Schizosaccharomyces pombe: one gene and its partner. The protein of the gene in region 2 interacts with the protein of the main gene of each other region in a biochemical or structural test. Each region holds a gene or a part of one and is shown on either strand. Other genes may lie near its edges.

Evidence for each region.
Region 1: the proteins of prp10 (region 2) and prp11 form a complex in vitro, tested with the Schizosaccharomyces pombe proteins (one study listed by BioGRID).

Annotation. Positions count from the first base shown.
Region 1 is NC_003421.2:517,871-521,800, reverse strand, and holds the start of prp11 (ATP-dependent RNA helicase Prp11), read right to left. Parts: upstream 2,290-3,930; 5' UTR 2,262-2,289; coding exon 1-2,261. Other genes in the region: rad16 (DNA repair endonuclease XPF), read left to right, coding at 3,898-3,930. UniProt on the Schizosaccharomyces pombe protein: ATP-dependent RNA helicase involved in pre-spliceosome/complex A assembly and mRNA splicing. Bridges U1 and U2 snRNPs during pre-spliceosome assembly and enables stable U2 snRNP association with intron RNA.
Region 2 is NC_003424.3:4,335,048-4,338,977, reverse strand, and holds the start of prp10 (U2 snRNP-associated protein SF3B1), read left to right. Parts: upstream 1-2,173; 5' UTR 2,174-2,190; coding exon 2,191-2,200; intron 2,201-2,251; coding exon 2,252-2,356; exon of another isoform or gene 2,357-2,422; coding exon 2,423-3,930. Other genes in the region: DNA replication factor C complex subunit Rfc2, read right to left, coding at 1-110, 163-236; pdp3 (PWWP domain-containing protein), read right to left, coding at 507-1,730. UniProt on the Schizosaccharomyces pombe protein: Contacts pre-mRNA on both sides of the branch site early in spliceosome assembly.

The DNA of each region.
Region 1 (3,930 bases), on a different chromosome or scaffold from region 2:
TGCACGTAATCCTCCATATGATTAGGGCAATCATAATTTACCACCAGCTGTAAAGATTTAACGTCAAGCCCACGAGCAACTACACTAGTTGCGATTAATACATCAAATACTCCTGCTTTATAATCACTGATGGTTGAGTCGCGATCGTGTTGATCCTTACCGCCATGAATTGAATTACTTGTATACCCGCGTTTCATAAGGTCCGACAAAAGTGCATCCGCAGACTCTTGTCTATCCACAAAAACAAGTGTACGTACATCAAGTTGATTGTTGTACAACTCACCTAACAGCTCTAATAGCCGAGAAAACTTGCTTTCCTCAGGCCGTACTTCAACGATTTGCTCAACCTCAGAAGCAACAACCGACCGTCCGCCAACCGTAATCTCTACAGGTTTCTTTAAAACTTTCCTTGCAAGGGCTTCCATAGCACGAGGAAAGGTAGCTGAAAATAGTACGGTTTGCCGATCAGGTCGAATATTGTTAATAATTCTCATGACTTGCGGTTCAAATCCTAAATCAAACATACGATCGGCCTCATCCAAAACCAAATAAGTGCAGCGGTGTAAGTTAGTAACACGTCCTGCATTCGCACTTAAAACATCAATCATACGTCCAGGAGTACAAACTACGATTTCTGCACCGCGTTTTAAATCAGCAATTTGGTCTTTAATAGGGGCACCTCCATATGCACAACACGCACGAATGTTCAATAACTTTAAGAAAGGTTTACATTCGCGAAAAATTTGCACAGCCAATTCACGAGTAGGAGTCATTATTATTGCAATAGGACCCTCTCCTGTTTTTAATGGGCGCTGATCTTTGATGTGTCGAAACATAGGAAGAAGAAAAGCAATGGTTTTTCCACTTCCTGTTTTAGCTACGCCAATTACATCTCTGCCAGAAGTAATCGCTGGAATTGCTTGTGCTTGAATAGAGGTTGGTTTTTCGTATCCCAAGGAATTGATCACGCTTATGGTTTGGGCAGATAAACCACATTGACTCCAACTAGTAACTGGCTTCGGGCAATCAATACCACGAATTTTAATACCATCTAAAGAAGCCCGTAGTTCATCAACTTCAGCTGGTGACAGATTTTTGAGCTCTTCAGGTTCAACATAGAAATCCTTTTTGAAATCTTCATAATTTATTTTTGAGTGATCAACTGTGATTACGTCTTTCTTTTTTGATCGTTTTGCAGCAAGAGCAAGTAAATTTTCTTCCTCTTCCAAAGTCTCTGAAATTACCATGCGCTCGTCATCGTTTGCATTCGGATCAATGACCTCCGTATTTAATAAACCAGGCCTTATGGTATCAGTGGTACCAACCAAAGAGGCCATGTAAGCATCTAAAGGATCTACTTCGTCTTCCTCCATGCTAGCTGCTTGCTCATTTCCTAGCATACCCCGGTCTTCTTGGTCCCAAAGCTCCTGGTAGTCTTCAAGATTCATACGCCTAGGACCATCTTCATCATCCATGTGAACTCGGTTATTTCGCTTCATATCCGAAGTATCTTTTTGGCGATTAATCTCAAACCCGGATATACCAGTTGAAGGCATAGCATTCTGGTCTTTGGCTGTAACCTGCGGCTTTGTATTCAACTTGTGCTCCTCCTTCTTGGAAGCCTCCTGTTTTGCCTTTGACTCTTTCCACGCTCTAACTCGTTCTAGCCTGGCGAGTAGCTTAGCATCCGTAATTTTGTCTGACGCTACTGGCTTTTCAGCATTTCGTTGATGATTATTTTCAACAGCTTTATCCTTGGGAATTACATCAACTCGTGGATTTTCAGATTGAATTTCTGAAACACTTAAAGAAGCACCAACTCTCTCAGTTCGATCAAATCGAGAACGTCTAGGCTGAGGCTTTATTTCAGTTGCGGAACCTTGTAATACAGGATTTGTTTCATCTGATTTAGTTTTATTGTCTACTTCTTTTTCCTCAGCATGTCTATGAGATGTTGGTCGCGGTGACCTACCAATATACTGATCGGGAATATTCTTTGATCTCGCATACTCTCGATCTCGCTCTTGATACCTTTTTTCGTAACTATACTTATCATGCTTCCAAGAATTATCTCTTCTAATTTTATTAGACTCGTGAGAACGAAAAGAATCATGCCTATCTCGTCGACTTGATACATCGTCTACGTATCGGTTATACCGTGCACCCTTTTGATCTTCAGAGTCATCATATTTTCGGTAATCTCTTCTTTCTCTATTGTAGGATCGCCTTGGAGGCGACCTTGATCGTGTTCTTCTAGACATCAAAAACTGGGTGTTGTGATATGTACACGAAGAGTTTTAATGAGGCAAGTAAACGACATAAATTACTTTATATAGCAATATATATTATGCATATGATATTAGTTCACTACTAGATATAATTTACATTATTATAGTTAACCTCTTTATGATTATTTATACAAGTCATATGGGGTTTATTAAAAAGCAATGAATTTGCCAGTTAAGTCGGTAAAGCAACCTGAATTCTGTGCAATTTATAAATCTTAGAAGTAATATTCATTTTTTATTTCAGTTATTTAAAATTTAATTATGGTTCCCTACACTGGACCTTCAACTTAACCAGTAAAACTCGGAAAAATAATCAACACTGGTATATAAGTAATTTTTTCAACACCGCTTACATTTTGATTGTTGCTGAATTTTTATTGCTTTTGTACTAAAGATAATATCGGAAAACCGAGAAATAAAAGACGATAAAAAATTTTATTGATTGGCGAATAGGCGAGTTAGCTCTTTTTATTTACAATATTTCTTTTTTTATGTAAATAACTATTGGGGTTAAGGCTTGGAATCCACAATTCTTGATTACTAGTAAGGTACTCTTTCAAATGTCTGTTAAACAGTCATCTACAATAGAATGTAATAAGTCAGATAATTTAGAGCGTACATAAATTAAGAAAAGCCATTATTTCCATTCCAAAAAAGAAAAAAAAAAAAGCATAATTGAAATTTACATAATGTTATACTTTTTCTATAATGTTTATGTTTTTGCGCTCTTCGACCAATAATATTGACTTAGCAGAAAACCAAAAAACGAAAATTCTTTAGTAATGCCAAATGAAAGAGAAAATTATTTATGTGTATATTTATTTTTATTTTTTTTAAGTGTATTTTTTCGCCATTTACTCGATTTAACAGTGATAGTATTAATAGCTGGCATTATTTTTCTGGTATTGCTTTATAATTTGATATACTTAATACTGGGATAATTGTTTTTAGGATGAGCAATGGTTATACGCATGTAATGAAGTTAGAAACCGACAGCAAATAAATCTTACATTTTGAAAGAAAATTTAAAAAATATGGTTGTCCAAATACAAGCGATGGGATACCCCAACGTGAATACATGGAAAGATTGAATGTAGAGTATCTAATTAAGGAGAATTAAGCTAAGGCATGAACTATGCCCGAAACTGAGCAATGGTTAAAGAGTATATTAAGTAATTTATTTTACCCAATATATTGAAACTAGTTTAACCTCTAGTTGGTATGTATAGTTGGTTGCTCATTTTTACTGATTGCTGTATTCCATTCACTCTTTCATCTTTAGGTTAAATATTTGTATTTGGTTCTCCTTGGATACTTTTATCAGTTGGTAATCATTTTTAAATTCATTGTCTTATATAGGATTTTTGTTTTGTACAGATTCTTCCTTTCATCATCCTTGAGAGTCTCTTAACTTCACGATCCGCCTAAATTCCTAAGAAGGAGTCTATCTCATGCTACTGTTTTTTATTTAACACATTTGTGAACGGAAATAGAAATAGAGTTGATTATTCCATCCAAATTGGAAAATTTTCGCATCAAAGTATTTAACAGCTTTCAGAAATCAAAATTGCAAATTGGAAAATCTCTACGAATAACACCACCATTAAATATGGAAACAAAGGTTCATTTGCCTCTTGCTTAC
Region 2 (3,930 bases):
CAGGAGAGCCATAAAACAACATGTGAGGTAAGTTATTAGATAAAAGTGTTTTTTTTAATACTTGTACAGTAGATTCTTGAGAGGAAACTTGGTCCAATGTCTTGGGACGACTACATACGTGTTAATGTTATTGTTCTTAAAAAGTATTCTCTATTTACATACTAAAGCTCAACCCAAGGTATTGATTTCTTTGCTTCCTGCTCCGTTTTCTTATTCCTTGGAGCAAAGAAAGACATTTTTTTTAAATTAGTATACACGAGATATCGCAAGTAAAAAAAAAAAACACTGACGGTACCTACTACGAAATGGTAGTAAGCAATGCTTGTTCTTGCTTACATACTAGGATAACGTATTGTAACGATTTGTACCATAAACACATTGAGTCGCGCTAATAATGCGTTCTATATTAATGAAAATGTTGGAAGCAAATATTATCGTAACATTAAATGTAAACAAGATTAGTTATGTAATTCGATAACAAAAGCATATGAATGTATGATCAAAAGTTAGGTAGTGATGACAGATGGTCTGGCAGCTTCTGTGTTCACTTGAGCATTCTTTCCAATGGGCGCTGTAGATACATTACTTGTCATGGTTTTGGGCTGAACGAATGCTTGGAATTGAAGGAGAAGAGTCGAAAATCGTGAAGAAAAGTCATATTTTTCATCCAACGGTATGTCGCTTAATTTAACAAGCAAAGTAAAAAGTGAATACAACTTGGTTGATTCTAATAGTTCAGAATTTATTGCGCTGAAATTCTCAATCATCTCCAATATTTGGTGCACATGAGACATATCCGATTCTTGAGGATAATGATTATATGACAGTAGGATTTCTTGTAGTTGGTAGCGGTAATATAAAAGAGTATTAAATCGAATATAATGAACTTGAGCATACATATCTACAGTACTTATAGGCTGAGCCAATTGATATTCAAGTGAAAATTTTGGTAATTCCTCTAAAGAACCGGCAAACCTTACTCTTTTTTTGGCTGTTTTCTTGGGAGAAGGAATTGGAGATGGGGATTTCTGAGCGTTGTCTGTAGCCATCCTAACTCGAGCTGACCTACGTGAAGGTCGTTGCTTCGATGTTTGAGAAATTTCTGCCGACGATTTCTCATTTTTTAACCTTTTACCCCCGTCAATTTTAGGTGTGGCTTCTATCTTTTCCTTTTTTGGTTTCTCGATGGGCTTTTGAAGTTTTTTACGAGTATTCTCTGGTTCAAACTCATCCTCTTCGACATCAGAAAAAGAAACTTTTCTCTTTACGGAAGCAATGATGAGACCTACCGTCTTTTGGATATACTTTGTCGATAAATCATGGTCCAAAATAAACCTTGATTCATCAACAGTTAAGGGCAAAACATTTGAAGAAGAAATAATAGCGTAATCTCTTGAAGGAAGAAACTGAACAAATATTCCATTGTCCATTCGAAAATTTCGTTTCAATCGTTCGCGTACCTCAGTGGGTATTGATTTTTGGCTCGCTACTCTGGCTGGCCACCATGGGAAGCTACTCATCTTTGCTAAAACATATTCCCCATTTTTATATGATTTCCTTGGTGACGTCCTCGGAACATACGCTAATTGTTTACCTTTCTTTTTAACATCACGCAGATTTTTCGTATTAGAAGTCTGTTGCCCGGTGGCCTTTTTTTTTGTTTTAATCTTCTTCTGGTTATTAATCTCTTCAAGCTTTCTTTTTTGACTGCGTGTCCTAGCAACCATCATCGTTAATTACATTCCTTATAAGCCAAACTTCACATTAAAGCGATATAGTGCTGAATTTTTCCAAAGAGATTTTACATCAATTTGTAAAGGTTCCACCAAATATTAGGATATACAAGTAGAAACCGTAAGACGCTTGTCTATTATCAATTAATTGCAGCAACGCTTACAAGATCTACAATAGCAGAGGGGGGGGGTGCTAAAAGCTTGAGCTGTTGCAATATGATACCTCGATATTTCAATATCATTCCTCATACTAATTTTTTCGATAGTATATATTTCTTTCGCAAATAAATCTTAATAAAGAGGGTTAAACTAAATAAGACACGTTAATCTTATCGTTATTCTACAAAACGAGTTACTGTATTGTACTTTAAAATATTGATAACGAAGCTTAGAATGCTTTGAGTATATTTAAATGAGTATAAGACGCGCAACATGAAAGCATTTCTTCGCCATCAACATGTCAACTGGTACGTATCCTTATAAAATGTTCAAAATGGATGTTACTAACCTAAATAAAGTAGAAGATGTGGAAATAGAAAGGCTTCGTGCTGAAAGAGAACTTTTGCGAAGACAAAAAGAGGCAGCGAAGAATTCGTCGACAAATGGAAGTGTAAATATTGAAGGTACCCAGGATTCTAATGATTTACAATATAATGCTCATCTTTTTAAGTCCAGTAACCCAAAAGAAGAATATGACTCCGCAATTGACGTGCGCAATGATATCTCTCAGGATGAAGACGATTATAAACGTACAAACGATGTTAATGATAGTTATCGTTTAGTGCGTCAATATGAAGCACCTAAGGAACTACTAAATGAATACGCTGATGAAAGTTATGACCCTATGCAAGAGAGACAGTCAAAAAAGCAAATTCAGGATCGCGAGTCAGATTATCAAAAGCAGCGTTATGATAGACAGCTTACTCCAACCCGCGTAGATGCTTTTCAACCTGATGGGACACAGAGCAATGGAAGATCTTATGCGGAGGTTATGCGGCAGGTTGAATTAGAAAAGGAAGAGCGACGAGTTCATATGGAATTAAATCAAAGACGTCGTGAAGGAACACTAAAAGAGGTGGAGGAGGAGGAAAGCATATCGGACAAAAAAAGAGAACTAGAGCTTAATAATACGGAAATATCTCAGAAGCCTAAACGCTCTCGTTGGGATCAGGCTCCACCTAGCGTTACGCAGGTTTCCACTACTAAGCGTAGATCACGTTGGGACAAAGCTCCTGAAAACTTCACTATATCTGAACATGTTATAGAAAACGGAATTTCTGAAGATCTTATTAATAAGGAAGTAAATGTAGTAGAAGAAAAATTACGACCTCCTGTCCGTTTATTAACTGAAGAAGAGTTAAATGAGCTTTTGCCGTCAGAAGGCTATGCTATTTTGGAGCCTCCTCCTGGATATTTAGAATCAATTCATCCTGAACTACTTCAAAAAGGTACTACGCTCGATACATATCACGTTCCACAAGAGCAAGAGCTTCCTTTAGAAAAAGAATTACCAGCTGCATTGCCTACAGAAATACCCGGTGTAGGTGATTTAGCTTTTTTTAAGCAAGAAGATGTTAAATATTTTGGCAAGTTACTCAAGGTGGAGGACGAGGCCAAGCTTACAATTGCGGAACTTCGTGAACGTAAAATTTTGAGATTACTTCTGAAAGTAAAAAATGGTACTCCTCCCATGCGTAAGAGTGCATTACGCCAGCTTACGGATCAAGCTCGCGACTTTGGTGCAGCTGCTTTATTTAATCAGATTCTTCCGTTGTTAATGGAACGAACACTGGAAGATCAGGAGCGCCATCTTTTAGTTAAGGTTATTGATCGTATATTATACAAATTGGATGATCTGGTTCGCCCTTTTACTCATAAAATTCTCGTAGTTATTGAACCCCTTCTTATTGATGAAGATTACTATGCACGTGCTGAAGGTCGGGAAATCATTAGTAACTTAGCTAAAGCTTCCGGCTTGGCTCATATGATTGCTACAATGAGACCTGACATTGATCATGTCGACGAATATGTCCGAAACACCACAGCCCGTGCCTTTTCGGTTGTTGCCTCTGCACTAGGCGTGCCGGCTCTTTTACCTTTTTTAAAAGCTGTTTGTAGAAGTAAGAAATCATGGCAAGCCAGGCATACTGGCGTTCGGATTATTCAACAGATTGCTCTGTTATTAGGATGCTCTATT